Saccharomyces cerevisiae S288C: one gene and its partners. Changing the gene in region 1 together with any one later gene gives a genetic interaction. Each region holds a gene or a part of one and is shown on either strand. Other genes may lie near its edges.

Region 1 (6,155 bases):
TTCGGACATTTGTTGTGAGAAAAAAAAGAAGAAAATAAAAGCATAAATGAAGCGAATGGATGAGAAGAGGGGAGGGAAAGCAAGAACGAGAAGGACAAACATCAGGGACCCATACTTCAATAAATTGCTTGATTTGGTGTTAATCAATTCTTCTAACATCAAACCTCTTTTAGTTTCCTTCGATCGTTTCACGTTGCTTATATTGATTGCTTTTTACTTCTATTTTTTCACTAGAATAAACAAACAAAGACATTCTGTTGATCAAGAAAGTTGAAAATGGTATTTGGTTTTACAAAGAGGGACAGGAGGGTACCTGATTTATCTAGGTATGATTACTACTATCAGAACCATGAAGATTATAACAAAAGTCCTCAGCTCTCTGCTGCTGCTGCCTCTGCTGCTTCTGCCGCATCACCGGATCGAACCAATTACTCAAGGTCGCACTCGCTGGTTAGTCATGCACCTTCAATACCGAGACAAAGAAGTTCGGTAAAGAGCCCAGGAAGAAGGCTTTCCACATCCTCTGCCGCTCCGCCAACGTCCAGGGCAGCAGCTAAGCAGTATTCACAGAAGACTTACTCGTTGAGGTCGCAAAGGAGCGGAGAGTACCATTTACACCCGCCCGGTTATACTACTAATGGGAGCCGTATGAATTCTATGACGTCTGGTGCGAATGTCAGAAGAAACTACGGTAAGAACAAATCGACGGCCGGCAACAATAACGATTCAAGGGCCAACTCCATTACCGTAAAGACTACACAAGTAACAGACCCTTCAGGAAGGACTCAATCAATTACCAAAAAGACAATAAGAAAAATAAATGGGTATGAATACGTAGAAACCACGACTACGACTAAGAATTTGGTTCCATTAGGTGACTCGCAGCGTCATTTCGATGAATTTAGTGAAAATTACATGTTGCAAGATGACGACATTTTAGAGGAACAAGCTAGTGATAACATTCACGATATAATCGAGGAAAACGAAACAGATAACGAAAAGCCATATTCCCCAGTAAGCGAAAGTCATTTACAAGATGATTCAGAGCTAAACGTGGAAAAACCAGATTTCCCACTTGGATCATATTTCCACCATAAGTATTCTACAGACGTTATGCCTCTAGAAGAAGAAAGTAGTTTATCAAACTTCAGTGACGCATTAGATTATATTCCTCCCACCCATCAGACCAGTAGTAAATATATTCATAATAAAAGGAAGCAAGCATCGACGACAAGAAGGAAGAAAAGACCGCCTGCCGTGAAAAACGCAGAAGCAGAGGCCAAGAAACCATTAACCGAAGCAGAAATGTATCTGAAGGCACTAGAGGTTGCTAAAAGAAACGTTTATCACACGGATGCTGCTTCGGATAACGCATCGGCCCCCCTCGGGAGTAACAAATCCAGGAAAAGTAGGATGGGTCAAAAAATGACCTTGAGAAGCAGTAGTGATTCTCCGACGGCGACTGCTAATCTTGTCAAATCTAATGTCGAGGTTCAACCAAAAAGATTTACAAGTTCCTTCTTCAGCAGAAATACTAAAAGCGCCCCCCATGAAGTGCACAATCACTCTGTGTCTACACATTTTAAATCGAATAAGGCTGTTGACCCAGTTCCAGAGCCTAAAAGTGCAAACACAGGGCTAACAGATAAAGAAATGTATGACCAAGCTTTGAAAATCGCACAAGCGAGGTATTACAACTCACATGGTATTCAACCTGAAGCAGTCGATAATAGCACTACGGCGGCTAAACCTCGTCAGGTCGGCGTTAGCCATCTGGGATCCACTGGGAGCATCCCGCCCAATGAGCAGCACTATTTAGGGGATTCTGAAATTCCAGTCCAAAGCGAAGTGCATGAATACGAGCCCATTCCATTGCAGAAGACAAAAACAACTGGTTCTTCCAAAAATAAGTTCAAAACCATGTTCGATAAAGTGCTGCAATTCTCTCAAGAAAACTACGGCTACCAGCACAAGAAGGAACAAGGCGAACAAACTCCAGTTACTCGTAATGCTGAAGAAAGCTTCCCAGCAGCGTCTATTTCGGAAGGTGTGACAACCGCAAAGCCATCTTCAAACGAAGGTGTGATGACGAATCCAGTAGTTACAGATTCACCTTCACCCCTTCAACAACAAATAGACTCGACTACTGCGTCCTCGAATGGGCAAAGTCAGGGCAATGTACCTACCTCCGCAGTAGCTTCAACAACGAGAACAAGATCACCGGAACTGCAGGATAATCTAAAGTCTTCTTCTTCGCTTTTACAGGACCAAACCCCTCAGCGTCAGGAAGACGCCACGGATCCAACAACATCATCGACGAATGAATTATCTGCCGCTGAGCCAACAATGGTCACTTCGACACATGCCACTAAGACAATACAGGCTCAAACACAAGATCCTCCCACGAAGCACAAGAAGTCCAGTTTCTTCACTAAACTGTTCAAGAAAAAAAGCAGCCGTTAGCAGTTGTTTACTCGAATTTTGCAATCAACCCTAATTTTTGAAGCCTGGTTTTAGATTTATTCTCTTCTTTTTCTTCTTGTGAACTTCAATTACTAATGTAACTTAATTTTTAATATAACTTTTACAGTTTAATAATATTGATTTTTTTCGGTCTGGACCAATCGCGCCGCATTTCTCACTAATATTACTAACATACCCTCTTCTCATTGGCTCGGTACCCCTTTCGTGACCCGCATTTTTTGTTTTCTTTGTTAGCCCGAATGTCTCACAATGAAGATGTAAAATTAAGATTATATATGAAAAATTGATACAAAACAAAATAGTTCAAATAATCAAGTTAAAGCGACATCACTCTCAATTTTTGCTTTTTTTAGGTTTATAGAATAGAAATATAACAGAACGAAGCCTTTAGACTCTTTTTTTTTATTGGTATATTGAACAAAGAAACTTTTTTTTTGTCCTCCCATATCTCGTGCACACAAATATTATGTCCATTGTAGCACTAAAGAACGCAGTGGTGACCCTTATACAGAAAGCGAAAGGTAGTGGTGGAACCTCAGAGTTGGGGGGGTCTGAATCAACTCCCTTGTTGAGGGGTAGTAATAGCAATAGTTCAAGGCATGATAACTTATCCTCATCTAGCTCGGATATTATCTATGGTAGAAATTCAGCGCAGGATCTAGAAAACTCACCGATGTCAGTAGGGAAAGATAATAGGAATGGCGATAACGGTTCGGATAACGAAAAGGCGAACCTAGGGTTCTTCCAATCAGTAGATCCTCGCGTAATTAGCGATTTGATTATCGGGCTAAGCGACGGTTTAACCGTCCCCTTTGCTCTAACAGCTGGTCTATCTTCACTTGGTGATGCGAAATTGGTCATTACCGGTGGCTTTGCTGAGTTGATCTCAGGTGCGATTTCTATGGGCCTTGGTGGCTATTTGGGAGCGAAGAGTGAATCTGATTATTATCATGCTGAAGTAAAGAAGGAGAAAAGGAAATTTTACGATAACTCCAACCTAATTAACAGAGAAATTGAAGACATTCTGTTAGAGATTAACCCTAATTTCTCGGACGAAACAATCGTTTCGTTCATCAAAGATTTACAAAGAACACCTGAGCTAATGGTTGACTTCATTATCAGGTACGGTAGGGGTCTAGACGAACCTGCCGAGAATAGAGAACTAATCAGTGCAGTCACTATCGGTGGCGGTTATCTACTTGGTGGGCTAGTACCACTAGTGCCATATTTTTTTGTCTCAGATGTGGGCACAGGTCTCATTTATTCTATAATAGTCATGGTTGTAACATTATTCTGGTTTGGTTACGTAAAGACAAAACTATCCATGGGTAGTGGCAGTTCGACTTCAAAGAAAGTTACGGAAGGTGTTGAAATGGTTGTTGTGGGTGGTGTAGCAGCAGGTGCGGCTTGGTTCTTTGTTAAGTTACTGGGTTAAGTGTAAAGTAACAACACTATACATATTTATTGTAAAGAAATTTGGGATTGAGAAGCTTTGCTATATACTTGGAACTGGGCTGGATTTTCTCGACATACATTTCTTTTACGTTTTAATTTGTTTCTATATTCTCCTCTTTAAATTTATTTATATTAATGAATTTCAAACTAGTTTCTTTTTCTATTGCCAAGAGGCCCATCAGGTGATCCATGATAACCTTTATTCGCATTGAATCGTTTTTCATTGGATCTAATTCGTCATTTGGTCGCCGCCTTTCTTTGCTCCTTCTGCTTTTTTCTTTTTCTCTTTGACTATCAGGTCATAAGATCTTCTCCTCCATTATGCCCAAGTGTTTTTCTTTTTTTTGCCTTTATATAAATTACAAAATACATACATATACTTCTCGTGCAGTATACTGGAATCAGCTTTATACCATATGAAGCACAACTTGGATCAGGACCGCTCTTCATTAAAAATCGAAGAATTATCTAAATAATTAATGTGCACGTCAATATATTCTCCGCGGAAACATGACAAACTTTTAGAAAAAGATTTAAAGCAATATTTTTCAGTTCTCCATTTCTTTATTTTTCAAGACCAATTCTAGTTCACCAATATCAAACATTCCTATGCCTTCCTGCAGAGCATCTGCCAAAATGGATAGTGATTTATTCGTGAAATCCGGGGCAGCTCTAAGACGATTGATATCATCACCGTAGTTTTCAAAAAGTAAATTTAAGTATTCTTCCCTTAACTTTGTCTTGTCTTTCCCTTTGGGCACAAAGTTTTCTGCCAATTCATTGTATTCTTCTCTCGCAAGCTTGATATTTTCGGCAATTTTCGATGCATTCATAAAACCCTCCTTGTTTTGAGATTTCGTAGGCTCTGGGATCTTGCTCAAAGAAATTTTGGTTAAATCGTCTATCACTTCTTTTGAATTTAACTTCAAATCCTTGCTTTCTTCGTCTGTAAGCTCGACATCCGAAACTTCTATTGCAATGTCCTCTTGTTTGTCTTCGTCATTACCTTTTGAGAAAACATGATCACTTTTACCATTTTCTCCAACGTGTTCTTCGATGGCCCCATTTTGGATTTCCTCCTTTTCACTTTCTGATGATGGATCCGATGATGAAGAATCTGATGATGAAACATCAGCTGTTCTTCTCTTCTTCCTCCTTCTGTTTTTTTTGACAGACTTGATATTTATGGCTGATATATCACCTGCCGACATCCTGTATAATATATTATGGCTAGTTCTTTCCGTGCTATTTCAAGTGGGCAGTTTAAATTCTTGTATATATTACTACAATATATGAAAGTTTTCGCTCTTCGTTTTTTGCAAATTTTTAGTGATGAGCTCTTCGCGCAAAGAAGTTTTCAATGCCCGTAAAGGCACCTAATTATATATCGAATTATTTTAAGCTTTCCGCTTCATCAATGCATTTTGTCTTTATATATCTAGTTTACAAAATAATATGTTGCTATTGCCTTGCTTTTAAAGGCTCAATATCTTGGACTTACTGCCTAGAATAGCTTATCCATTTCCACTAGCGCGTAGTCTAATATGTAACTTTGTTCAACTAAGTTATCAACCCTTGTGAAATGCCTTTGCGTGTATGGAATTATTGCATCAACTATCTTTACCATTCCGGGTATCTCACTCAATTTTGCTATGTTATGATGCATCAAAATACATCTTATTGTTCTTTGCGCTATGGTATGTGTTTTTGCATTTGTATTCCAATCTCTGCATCGTTTCATTAACAAAATTAACTGTTCATCATTTAGGATAGAGATGGCTTGGTCCAATTCTTCATTGAAAATGACTTCAATTTTGCCCTCTTCGGTATCTTGTCTAGACCTTGATTCGCCCAAAGCTCTTTTCAAAACATTAAACAACCTCATTGGGTGATCTAAAGTCATTGCTAACAAAAATGCATTTGTCCAATCACCTTTGCTCATATAATTTTGAAGCGATTGTTCTTGTTCGACTTGTAATTTAGCTTTTTCTTGTTCTTCTTCTATTTCTTGTTCCGTACAATCTTTCCAAAACTGAAAAACACCATCTGCATCAGCACTTACGATCATATCACCATCATTCATAGTACTTAAAGCCCATAATCTATTATTATGACCATCCAAAGTCTTCAGACATTCACCGCTAGAACAATCCCATATTTTGATCAAGCCATCAGCACCACAACTGATCAGTTGTTTTTGCTTATTAATAAACGAA
Region 2 (6,749 bases), on another chromosome or scaffold:
ATCAGCATAGGTATTTTCATGAAGGATAGGTAAAAAGAAAGAAAAGAAAAATATCTTTTTGACTGTCATTCTTGCAATTATCACAATTAGGGGACTTTAAAACCGATACTTGATATATGAGCACAGTCAAGGGGCCGGTTCTTGAGATTTTAATGGAAAACAAGAAAGTTGCACATACAGGTCTGCTTTTCTTTGCTTGCTCCAGACAACGATACTTAGAACTAAAACATATTTCTAGAACACTTTTCTCCTTCATTCAAAAAGAAAACTGGCCTTGCAATGACTCCAAAAAGAGCGCTAATATCTCTTACTTCATACCACGGTCCCTTCTATAAAGATGGTGCGAAAACAGGCGTTTTTGTAGTTGAGATTTTGCGGTCGTTCGATACTTTCGAAAAGCATGGTTTCGAAGTGGACTTCGTTTCTGAGACTGGTGGATTTGGCTGGGATGAACATTACTTGCCAAAGAGCTTTATTGGTGGCGAAGATAAGATGAACTTTGAAACGAAAAATTCCGCCTTCAATAAGGCGTTAGCGAGGATCAAGACCGCAAATGAAGTCAACGCCAGCGACTATAAAATATTCTTTGCATCTGCTGGACATGGTGCTCTATTTGACTATCCCAAAGCTAAAAATCTGCAAGATATTGCATCCAAGATATATGCCAATGGGGGTGTGATCGCCGCCATCTGTCATGGACCGCTCCTTTTCGATGGATTAATAGATATCAAAACAACAAGACCATTAATCGAAGGCAAAGCTATAACAGGTTTCCCACTCGAGGGTGAAATCGCCCTGGGAGTTGACGACATCTTGAGGAGCAGAAAATTGACAACGGTTGAACGCGTTGCAAACAAGAATAGAGCCAAGTACTTGGCGCCAATTCATCCCTGGGATGACTACTCTATTACCGATGGAAAGCTAGTTACGGGTGTTAACGCAAATTCTTCCTATTCGACCACAATTAGAGCTATAAACGCATTATATAGCTGAAACAAAAGACAAGGGAATTGTTGAAGGGGAGGCTTCTAATGGCCTTCAGTTTCTGTGAAGAGAAGGCTAACAGCTCAATGGTTCGAAAGGTAAAGAAAACGGCAGATCGGTAGCACTCGATTTTGCTAGAATGGAAATCATATAGAGAACAATTGAATAGTAGGCCTTGGTTTTTAGTGTTGTACTCATCATGGTCATATGTGACATAGGTAATGTACATATATATAAAAAAAAAAAAAAAAAAAGCAATGCTGTGAGATCATTCGTTACTTACGAAATACGCAGATTGCAATTTGAAATAAGCTGTGTTTCCTTTTTTCTTTTTTTTTTTTGGCTTGTTATATACAACTTTTTTCTATTTCTGTTCTTTTAGGAGTAATTAATTGGTACATGGGAAATAAATATGAATTATATTAAATGAAGTAAAAGTAAAAGAAAACGGGGAAATTTATCGTTTCGTAGTAAATAGATGATGGACTTGGGCGACAAAATAAATCCTAACCTCTCGTTCTTAGGAATCAACTGCGTCAGCTTCAACCAATCACCCGACATTCTTGAGTCTCTACATCAAGCACTGCCAAATATGGCCTTGCTTGCTTATCCAAACAGTGGTGAAGTTTATGATACTGAAAAGAAGATATGGTTGCCAAATAGCGATAAGCTGAACAGTTGGGATACGGTTGTTAAACAGTACATTAGCAGCGGTGCCCGTATCATTGGTGGTTGTTGCAGAACAAGTCCAAAAGACATCCAAGAGATTTCTGCAGCCGTCAAGAAATACACGTAAATGCCTTTTTAAAGAAACTGGAAAATTCTTAACATTATACATATGCTAGGAAGCAGCATGTTACACTAAATACATTTTATAAACAGCACAAGAAGTATTGTTAATTAATTATCCTTGCCATGTTTTTTTAGAGTCACAAATGCTTTTCCGTACTTCGCCGACAAAAAACAGAGTAAACATCATATGTTTTATAATCTAAAGGAATCAACTAACAGTTCATCAGATGGGAATTTGGGAGAGTGCACAAGTAAGATGGGGTAAAAGAAGATAAATCTCCACCGGATCTAAACCTTTGCCAATAATCCTCACATGGTGGAGCTACAATCTCGCCTTCTCCGACCAGTCACGATTAATTAAATTGCCTAAAATTAACTTTTATATTCCCATACAGTCGATATTGCTAGCTCAAAAGGCGTTATATTCGAAAGTTGTATCCAAATATTCCATCTAATGTATTATTGGCAAAAGGATTCCGTGATCTGTGTTCCCAAGAACAATCATAACCTTGAAAAATTATTCGCCAATCATTACATGCGGCAAACTAAAAAGCCTTTTTTTGTTGGCTCCGTGGCTCTATTGTCGCAGCTGATAAAAGCAGGTGCCCTTGGATATTTTCGAGAAATATATGACAACTTATTGATGTTTTGCTGGATCAAGTTTACGTGAAGGCAAATTTTCATAAAAGTGTAAAGTATTAACTCTTGAAGGTGCAATAACTCAATGGGTTTTTTTACCTTACAACTCAGCACCATCTTATAATTACAAGGCTGTAATATGTGAGGCCTGGCCGAAATTTCATGTGAAACAATACATGGCTTTCCAAATCTACGCATTTTTAGAGCTTTTCGTGAATGTCGTTACGCTGCTCCCTGACTTAACAATCCCGTTAGGGTATCTACTTCAGAGCAGATTACAATATCAAGAATGTTGTTGGTAGGTATTTGTAAACTTGAATTAGAATCCAAAAAGCCTTTACTAGGAGCTATTTTTAATAGTGTTTATGTTTTTCTTCGAGTACTCTATGAGATGGAAAATTGTCGCCTACGAAAATTTAGTACCTTCTCTTTATCCCAGTGACAAGTTATGCATGCTTGTTATACGATGTTAAATCTTCACTTAAAATCCTCTGGAGATGTACCGATTCCGGTAGGTTTCACTCGAAATTTAGCATATTTCAGTTTGGTTTCCTAACACGACCAGTCGCAGGTGAGAGTCTTGGAATTATCCTTCAACACTGTGTGTTATTGTAGATCAGTAATTAAAGATCAGTGTAGTATTTTCAAATATTCTTTACTTCAGTAAGGACAGAATTTGTAGTGACATTTAATGAAGAATAACAAAGGGATATGGATGTCAGGCGACATTACTCGACGTAAATTACTCTCACGAAGGCAAAAATATAACCTAGCCATTGAGTCCTAACCTACTATTAGCGAGATCTTTCTCATTTCGGCTTTAGAGTGTTCATTTTAATACGATGGCCAAAATTAAAAAAATTCGGCCATCAGACCTTGTCGCTTTACTAAGAAGTTATACGGATGAAGATGAATTACTTGAATAAAGATCTTCACTCACTAAATGAAAACATCTGCAGCACGTGCTTGTTATGCTTAACTCCTTGTAAAAATAGTGTATTTCAAAAAATACGCAGTGACAGAGTAAAGATACCCTAACTTTTGTCCGTTGTCCTCCGGTTCCATCATTGCCAAACTAAAGTACTAAGACCATTATCGTGGGTAAGATCATACATTTAAATAAAATAAAAGATACGTAAGCACCTAGATTCCTGGGACAAGCAGCTCAAAATATTTGTTCCTCTTTCCTGTATGAACTGTCAATGCGTTGCTGCTTCGCTGCACGTATTAAGGATTTTGATGGAAGGTCCAACAAAGAAAAAGAAACGTGCGCTTTTAAAAAAAGAAGCTTTTCCTACCAAAAGTTCTTTGATCTGCTTATTCAACGTAGCATCTTATTCGCATACATTGGACTCATGTTTAAGGCATTCTAATCACACCAGTTTCCTTGCATATGAGCAAATATCTGTGCTTGCTGTTCTAACCATACGTACTACTACGTTGATTGGATTATAATGTCCTTTGGGTATTCTCCGATTACGTTGTCCCATTTTTCTTTTTTGCCTTGTTGCGAAGAGCGTTGTTCCGAAAACCGGGTGCACTTTTTGTTCACTTTATATATCCCACGAGGAGACTGCGCGAACATGATATGTTTGACCTGGCATAGTGCTATTGTTCATAAACAATAAGCCCCCTAAATACCTGCATGTACGAAGGTGTACGTACGGTCATTCGCATTTCCCTAGCATTACTTTCAGTACTGGACAGGTTATTTTTACCCCTCTAGTTTGCGACTACCACTAAATGGGCCATTTTTACGTGTCTACGACATATCGCAAGGGTTTTTTTCTTTTGTCTTATTCGAGTAATTATATAAGCGCGCGTAGTCATTTTTTTAGCGAGACCCTAGGGTCCTGTAGCAGTAATTTGAGGTTTTCATGGCTCGAACAACGACAAAATATTGAGGAATCTTGAGCCTTATTGGGGCGTAAATCACACAGGTGTTGAATGAGCTTGGAGCTTGTGCGGTTATGTATTAGATATGGGCAGTTTCCTTTAACGTTGGCGCCTCTTTCTTTCCTACCCGTGGGGTTGCTCTCGAAACTGATTAGGTCATGAGCATTTTTGCTGAGTCTTTTTAGGAAGCAGCATTTTTCTCAAACGAAAAAAAAAAAAACCAAAAAAAAAAATAAAGACAAAAAAACTATATAATGCTACTGGCCTTGAACTTGCTTGGTAGAAGCCTTCTTAATTGCACCCATTAGTTTAGCATCTACCACATCTTGATTCGATGCTCTTCATTTAGAAATACTTGTTTATATAAATATACTTCACACGGCATGAATTAATTGATAGGTAAGTAAGTTTCTTTTATCATAAGTCAAACAGTATCAGATATAAGAAGGGAAAAGGTAGATATAGAAACCTAATAAGACCCTTATTATTAAACATTCGTTAATCAAATTATGGGTAAAATTGCAGAGTTTCTCGGGAATCCAGGTGCTAGGCCTGACGTTCATCATAGAGCACCTACTGTTGACTGCAAACAGTACGAAGAATTCGGTGATTCTAACGATTACAAAAATGATGATGTGGTCAGAGTAGTCAGCCATAGCGATGAGAGTACTGATGACGAACTTTGTAATGTGAATTTAACAGAAACAGGGGCAATCTTCACGAGTAAAGGTTTTACCGGGTTAAGCAAAGGTTTCACAGATAAGACCCTGGATTTCCTGGTACGAGTGGCCGGTTCGCAGGCGGTTTTTTTTATTGTTTGGATCATCCTCATAATTTGGGTGGTTATTGGTATTGTTTATAACGCACCTTTCAATTGGCAAGTTGTTATGCAGGACGGACAGTCTATTCAAAGTTATGTTTGGGACACACTGTTGATGAGACAACAGTTGATGAGTACGCATGAACAAATTTTGATCTGCGGTAGATTGAAGTCGAGATTGGCTTCCTTCAAAAACTATCTAACAAGAAGCACCCCAGAGGAAGAAAAAGCAGACTGCACAGTTGAAGCTAATGAAGTCAGCTCTGTTGAAAATCATATAGACCCATCTGCCATTAACGGAGAACTGCCTGTGGAAAATTGGTACGACCGTTTATCTAACGTAGCAAGTAGGTATATGGGTTCAATTGCAGCAATGGTGATATTTTGGATAGGTATTTTCGTTTGGATTGGTTGCGGTGCTATCCCAAAAGATGCGGGCAACACTCCACCTTACACCGGAGAAACTACAGGTAGTAATCCAAGATTGAAAAAGTTCAGTGACGCTTGGCAGATGTATATTAACACTGCAGTTGCAGTTTCCCTTCTAATTTGCACTACTTTCTTACAAAATATAAGGGCTAGACATGATTATTTCACGGGGAGGTTTTTAGTTGATATCTTTGATATGGACGAGAAAATCGACTATCGTATAAGAAAGCATTTTAACGATTTTGAAACACCTCACCCAGTTGTTACTATTGAATCTAAAAAAAGGTCGACAGGGAGAAAGATGATTGATTGGTATGCTGATATTATTGGTACTGGTATTGGTGTCCTGATTGGTGTGGCAGTGTTCGCCACATGGATTGGTATTGGTTCGCCAATGAAGTGGGATGATAATTGGTGGTTGATTATCGGTACATACACAGGTTTAATTGGGTTTTTGGACGGTTTCGTTTTGAGAGAAGTGTACTTCCGAATCGTTCAACATGAAGAGAAAAATTATTCTGATGTGGCTAAAGAAGACCTTGAATTATTCCAAGAATTAGGTATTGAATGTCCCGAAGAATTTAGTGGTAAAGCTCCTGAAATTAACACTATTGGTTACAGAACATCCCAATATATTAATAGGATCTGCTCAACTCCATGGAGTGTTCTTGTATCCGTCATCATCATCATTGGTTTAATTTGTATTGCTTCCGGTTTGCGTTGGAGTACAACAGGTCAATTGATTGCTAACACGCCAACTATGATTATCGAAGAATTTTTCTTGCTAGTTTTGTTGCAAGCACATAATTGGGCCGATCGTCAAAGAAGAGTGGAGGTTACCGCTTTGTACGCACGTAGGCGCATACTTCTATCATACGTAGAAAAGCGTTTCCCAGAGGTTATGATGTTGGAAAAATAGCTTCATTGAACATTTTAGCATTAGTGGGAAGAATTCCTCATGTTACTTATGAGGGAGTTAATTTTCCTTAGGGATTTTAGGAATTTCTATACGGAGGTAGCGATCGACCTTAGAACTTTTATTTAGTTTGTACATATACCTCACCTGAGTTTTGCTTTTTTCTCTGGGAGCCTAAACCATTTAAAATGATATATAATAGATAATAAATCCAGGATAAAATGTGGCTAATTGATCTTTTTTCATTTTCAACTTGGTAATGACGTACTGGAT
Region 3 (6,749 bases), 500 kb from region 1:
GCAATCAATGAAAAACCGGCAATAATTCTAGCCAACGTAAATTTAAAAATAGTGACGTCCCGTAAGAACGGTATTGCTATTACCGCACTGTTATTTTCTAATGAAGTCAATGACCAATAAACAAAGTTCAAACCAAGGATACCCTTTAGGAAAACGTTTATCCAAATTGGAGCTGCAGCTTGATAAGACGATGTTAGATTATAATAACCGGTGATGCATGCAGGTAATATGAATATCATTAGGAAACAGAGACCCAAAACCCACCACGAGGAATTGTTTTGATTATTAAATGTTGGAATACAATATTCGCCTTGTTCCTCTCTACAAATGGTAATCATAGAAGCTAACCGGGTAAAAATGATTAAAACTGCAGAATGGTAACCTCCTAGTAATCTTGCAAATCTTGTTAATGGTAAGTAATTTGAATTTGCTGTCGAAGGATTGACCCCTGAAGTGGTTCCTTCCTTTTCACTGATTGTTGCAGTTAATAATGCAGTGGTGGATTGCCTTTTTGGTAAGAAGACAAATTCATACAACGTCAACATGCCGAAAGTAGATAAAAGGAATGCTACAATTCTATCCTCCCAAATAGTAAATGAATTGGAAGTGAAAAGCAAAGCATGAATAATCATAAACATGACAGCAATTCTTGACCAATAATCAGCTAATGTTTCACCCAGTCTCATAGCAATCCAAATAAAGTTGTACCTATCAAATATTGTGATATAACAACCAATAATGATACCAATTGCAGTCGCTAACAGGGTACCCCAGAATTGGTCTACAAAACTTGGTTGTTGATAAACGTAAAAAATTCCATGGAAACATAGGTTTGTAACTAAGACCATTATGATAATTCCCGGAACGAATTCTGGAACCATTTGATTCACAACAATAGAAGGAATTAATTTTGTAATGGATATCAACAGGACCAGTGAAGTGGCCAGTAGCGTTATACCGGTGGCAATGGAATAATAATCGAATTTGGCCCATAGTTCTTCGCAGGTCTGCAAGAAGACCTTTTGGTATTTATGACCCAGCTTAACAAATTTTTCTGGATCGCTTGTTGGGGGGGTGTTAGATATATTTTTCGCTAACGGTTCCAATATTTCGTCATTGCCATGGTGGATCTGCATCGTGTCCTTATATAATTGTAATTGGCTTATCGCTGAGTTGACAAATTGAGACCATTCTCTATCGTTTCTTGCTATTTCGTCAATAGGCCATCCAAGATTGTTAAATGGTATCGGTTGGCCCATCAATAACGCCAAACTAGACACCAAATCAATTTGTCTCACTGAACGGTAATCGTGTCCCAAATTATCAATGTTGTAATTCGAAGTTTCTTTAAGTCTCCACATGTCCGGCTTCTTAGAATAAAGAAATAAAGTGCTTTCGAGCTCGTCGATGGAGTCGCCACCGTGATTGCCCGTATGGTCCATTCCATGGTCACCCAAAATAACCAATAAGGTATCATCATCGATCGATTTTAGTATCCAATCGATAAATTGATCTACTTGAATTTGTTTTTCCCTCATAGTAAAATGGTCGGGGCCATATTTGTGGCCCACATGGTCAATACCTAGCATGTGTCCAATCATGACGTCCCATTCCTTGTCCTGCTGTAAATGATCATGGAAGTAATCCATAACACCGTTATCGACAGTATCTAAGTCCCACACATTGAGTGATTCTAGTGGGAAACTATCGTTGGAAAGGAACGGATGGAACAGAGCCATCCATGTATCATCTCCGGCAAATTTGACAGTCTTATTTGCCAAATGGAGCTGTTTAAGAAAGTTATCCTCTTCGATTACTGTTCCATCGAAGTTAGACCCGGCATCAATGAAAGTCGGTAAGGACCCTGTTGTGAGACCCTTGAGTCTTTGTAAAGTAGTGGTTGGTGGGTCGGCAATGAACTTCAACAATAGGGAAGATGCATCCTTATCGCTTGCAAAAGAATCATACAATGATAATATATTATTATGATAGTTCAAGTTGTAATTAGAGTGGGATTCGTTTACAGGAATAGCGAAATCAAATCTCAAAGCGTCAATAACCAAAATCACCGCCTTGTTGAACCTAGGAGGTAACTTACTCGTTTCGTTTTGTGAGGAAATATTATCAAGAACGTGTCTTGACAGTAAGAATCCCCGAGTGAAAAAAGCTATTGATATGAATTGTAAAATGGCGATGAAAACCAATAGAATAATATAAAATTTATGATTCTTTTGAAATTTCTTTATTCGCGATTTGTATATTATTTTTTCATCATTGGAAGATGAAAGAATCGACTTTTTAATTGTCTTTTCATCCATATTACGGGAGCTTTTTTTTTCCACTTAATGTATTGATCTTCCTCCCGTTCTTTGACGATTCGGCGTTGCCCTTAAAACATATGCTTCTATTCCTTTTTTGATCTTACCCATTTATTTGTTTTTTTTTATTTTCCGGTGGACAACAAAATGTTAAAGGAAAAAAGAAAGTACCTTGCTCGTCATCGCGCTTGCATAATGTGCGCCATTACCCTGTAACAAAAACAAAAGATAGAGTGGCAACAACTTGACACAACTTTGCAATTGTACCATGAACCCCAACAAGAAAGGCGGTTGAGAGTAAATGATGTGGTTTGGTTCCTTTTTTTTCCTACATTTAAGGTTCATAGAGAAGAAAATTTTCTGAAATGTCTTTTCCTCTTTTAATGAATTGTAAAAAAGCCAGTATTGGAATAATATTCTATTCAATATAGTAAGAAAAGAGGCAATGGGCAGAAATCTTCTCCCGCATAATCCTTTAAATGCAAAATACATGTTAGGCGTCTAAATTTTTTTCAGTGAATCCAGATGCAGAAACATTTAAACAATAAATATCTTAAACCCATTTTGAAGCATCGGCGGCTAAAAAAATGATTTTGCATGGAAAAAAATGAGAGCTGTGAACCCAATAAAAAAGACAGCTTTTTAAAAATGTATAACGGTACATTAAGCTCTTGTTTATTCCTCAAACTGCTCCTAAAAACCATCCTCTCAAAAATAATAATGATAGCTGAAGATTATCTGCCACGAAATGCCATTGAGCCGCTTACTTGTAGGTTTTCATGAGTAATAACGAAGATAATTTACCCGTCTTTATAACCCACGTAAAAATAAACATATAATTATTTCTTATTATTTCAACTAACCGTTAAAGTGTTCAAATATGGTAGAAAGCTTTCCCTATGTGCATTATGATTATCTTTTAGCCGCCAGAGTTTAGTTTAATTTTGTTTTGTTTTTGACGACTTCTGGTGTTACCCGAAGGTATATCCCCGGGTGACCCCTAAAAATCGCACCCCATTTTCCCGAATTTTCTTCTACGTTTTCTTTTTTCAGAAATACTTCGAATGAGGGATGGAACAAGAAGGAAGCGACATACAAAAACTGAGTCAGTTTAGTCTTAATAGGTGCAATATTTACAAATACAGGAAAGGCAGGAAGCACTGGCAAAAAGACTGCATAGCTAAAAAAAAAAAGAATAAAAAAAAAACGGAGACCTCAACAGAGCGAAACCAATAATTACAAACAAAATCTTCATATGACTTCGAAACCATCCACCAGTGACGGCAGGGCTCACTCGATTTCCCATGTACCTGGCACGCACATGAGAGGAACATCGGCATCACACAGCCCCAGACCGTTTAGGCCATGTGCGGATTGTACGTGTTCTCCAGGCTTACTGTCTAGGCAAGGTCGTAGAGCCTCTCTATTTTTAAGACAGTTAGAAAATTCAAGGAGGTCCTCCAGCATGCTTCTCAACGAGTTGAAGGGCGCTGGCGGAGGTAGCAGTGCTGGAAATGGGTCTGTTTACTCATGTGACTCTCTATGCGCTGTTAACAGGGAAGTTAACACTACTGATAGATTGTTGAAGTTGCGTCAGGAGATGAAGAAACACGATTTGTGTTGTTATATTGTGCCCAGTTGTGACGAACATCAGTCCGAATATGTATCATTGCGAGATCAAAGGCGCGCCTTCATTTCAGGGTTTTCCGGATCGGCCGGTGTAGCCTGTATCACCAGAGACTTGTTAAATTTCAACGATGACCATCCGGATGGGAAATCCATTTTGAGTACTGATGGAAGATATTTCAATCAAGCTAGACAAGAACTAGATTATAATTGGACACTTTTGAGGCAAAACGAAGACCCAATCACTTGGCAAGAATGGTGTGTCAGAGAAGCTTTGGAAATGGCCAAGGGACTTGGCAATAAAGAGGGAATGGTGTTGAAGATAGGTATTGACCCAAAACTTATCACTTTCAACGACTATGTTTCTTTTAGAAAAATGATTGACACTAAATATGACGCAAAGGGTAAAGTGGAGCTGGTTCCCGTGGAGGAAAACTTAGTTGACAGTATTTGGCCTGATTTTGAAACTCTACCTGAAAGGCCTTGTAACGATTTACTACTGTTAAAATACGAGTTTCATGGTGAAGAATTCAAAGACAAGAAGGAAAAGTTACTGAAAAAGCTGAATGATAAGGCTTCCTCTGCGACGACCGGTAGGAATACTTTCATAGTAGTTGCGTTGGATGAAATTTGTTGGTTGTTGAACTTGCGTGGATCCGACATTGACTATAATCCAGTTTTTTTCTCCTACGTGGCTATTAACGAAGACGAAACCATTCTTTTCACCAATAACCCCTTCAATGATGACATATCGGAATATTTTAAGATAAACGGTATTGAAGTCAGACCTTACGAACAGATATGGGAACATTTAACAAAGATAACTTCGCAGGCTTCTTCTGCGGAGCATGAATTTTTGATTCCTGATAGTGCATCGTGGCAGATGGTTCGTTGTTTGAACACCTCAACCAACGCTAACGGTGCAATAGCTAAAAAAATGACTGCACAAAACTTTGCGATAATTCACTCACCCATCGATGTTTTGAAATCTATCAAGAATGACATCGAAATAAAAAACGCACACAAGGCGCAGGTCAAAGACGCAGTATGTTTAGTGCAGTATTTTGCATGGCTGGAGCAGCAATTAGTGGGGCGCGAGGCACTGATAGATGAATATCGTGCCGCAGAAAAATTGACCGAGATTAGGAAAACCCAAAGGAACTTCATGGGCAATTCCTTCGAAACAATATCCTCCACAGGTAGTAACGCCGCCATCATACATTATTCGCCGCCCGTAGAGAACTCTTCGATGATTGATCCTACCAAGATATATCTTTGCGACTCCGGTTCGCAATTCTTGGAGGGTACAACTGATATAACAAGAACAATTCACTTAACAAAGCCAACCAAAGAAGAAATGGATAATTACACACTGGTACTTAAAGGTGGCTTAGCCCTAGAGAGGTTGATTTTTCCCGAAAACACTCCCGGGTTTAATATCGACGCCATCGCTAGGCAGTTTTTATGGTCCCGCGGGTTAGATTACAAACATGGCACAGGCCATGGTATCGGATCATTTTTAAACGTTCACGAAGGACCCATGGGTGTCGGCTTTAGGCCACATCTGATGAATTTCCCCTTAAGAGCGGGTAACATAATAAGTAACGAACCAGGTTATTATAAGGATGGTGAGTATGGTATCAGGATTGAAAGCGACATGTTAATCAAGAAGGCCACTGAGAAGGGTAACTTCTTGAAATTCGAAAACATGACTGTGGTTCCCTATTGCAGGAAGTTGATCAATACTAAGTTACTAAACGAAGAAGAAAAAACACAGATTAACGAGTACCACGCAAGGGTATGGAGGACAATAGTGCATTTTCTGCAGCCTCAGAGTATTTCATACAAGTGGCTGAAAAGAGAAACAAGCCCACTATGACTTCGAGGCGAGCGGGGCGCAATACAATTAATGTTAGTATTTATTCTAAGTAGTTTCTTTCTTTTTATTTAATTTGAGTGATAACAATAACAACAATAATGACTAAAAGGTGAAAATTGAAAACATTACCTTCATTTTTTTACGGCCGGAGAGGGGTAGGTACACTTAACCCCGAGCGCTTTTAGTGCCAAAAAGAGTTAATGTGCGTAGTCGGATTTTAAACGACCATGCATGTACAGCCCCCTAGTGATTTATACTGATGCCTCATCAAGAAATTTTTTCATCCAGGGTCCCTGCTCGGCGAACCTTTCCGCAAGAGTCACAAAAATCAATCTTATAACCAGGCACCAGTAGTACTGCCAAGCTTGGACTACATAGCCAACGTAAAGACAAGGAGTCTGATTTAGTATTTCTTTTTTGCCAGCCAGTATTTTCTGCGCAGGATAGATTATTTTAAGAGCCGAGAATTCCTTATGCGGGCCCGGTCACAACGGATTATAGGTTCCGCCAGACCCCGTTGCTTTGGTTCCATGGAGCAGGAGCAGGATTTTCCGTGGAAAGAGAAGCACCGAGCGAAAAGCGGATACGGAAGGCGGATGCGGAAACGGATGCGGACGCGGAAGGAAGGAAGGAAGCAAACCCTTCCGTCTATGTCGCTATGAAGCCGTCTCACAGTAGAGCCATTCGAGATTTCCGTCCGTCGGTACACAGAAATCTTCGTATCGGGAGTTTTACTTTAAAAGGAAACGATCGTAGGAATTCCCTAAAGAAAAAGGAAGAAAAATTTAACGTTGAACATTGTCATTTTCTTTTTTTTTTTTATGTGTGCAGAATATACTATCAAGTAATGTGTTCTATATATAAAGGGTACCTCATTTGATCTTGATGTTTCTTTCTGCTCGTATGCCTTGAGTCACCAGTTTTCA

What was found.
Region 2: of CCC1 (region 1) and FET4, changing one enhances a phenotype caused by changing the other (phenotypic enhancement), as found in Saccharomyces cerevisiae (one study listed by BioGRID).
Region 3: of CCC1 (region 1) and FRA1, extra expression of one rescues a mutant of the other (dosage rescue), as found in Saccharomyces cerevisiae (2 studies listed by BioGRID, with this or other methods).

What each region holds. Positions count from the first base shown.
Region 1 is NC_001144.5:573,875-580,029, forward strand, and holds CCC1 (Ccc1p), read left to right. Parts: upstream 1-2,950; coding exon 2,951-3,919; downstream 3,920-6,155. Other genes in the region: COA4 (Coa4p), read right to left, coding at 1-44; MSC3 (Msc3p), read left to right, coding at 277-2,463; RSA3 (Rsa3p), read right to left, coding at 4,488-5,150; U3 snoRNA-associated protein UTP13, read right to left, coding at 5,444-6,155. UniProt on the Saccharomyces cerevisiae protein: Has a role in both calcium and manganese homeostasis. Involved in the transfer of iron and Mn(2+) from the cytosol to the vacuole for storage of these metals.
Region 2 is NC_001145.3:912,610-919,358, reverse strand, and holds FET4 (Fet4p), read left to right. Parts: upstream 1-4,820; coding exon 4,821-6,479; downstream 6,480-6,749. Other genes in the region: SNO4 (glutathione-independent methylglyoxalase family protein), read left to right, coding at 280-993; YMR321C (uncharacterized protein), read left to right, coding at 1,463-1,780; YMR320W (uncharacterized protein), read right to left, coding at 2,308-2,613. UniProt on the Saccharomyces cerevisiae protein: Required for Fe(2+) ion low affinity uptake.
Region 3 is NC_001144.5:77,888-84,636, forward strand, and holds FRA1 (aminopeptidase P), read left to right. Parts: upstream 1-3,573; coding exon 3,574-5,823; downstream 5,824-6,749. Other genes in the region: mannose-ethanolamine phosphotransferase GPI13, read right to left, coding at 1-2,318; RRT7 (Rrt7p), read right to left, coding at 2,469-2,810. UniProt on the Saccharomyces cerevisiae protein: Involved in the regulation of the iron regulon in responss to decreased mitochondrial iron-sulfur cluster synthesis.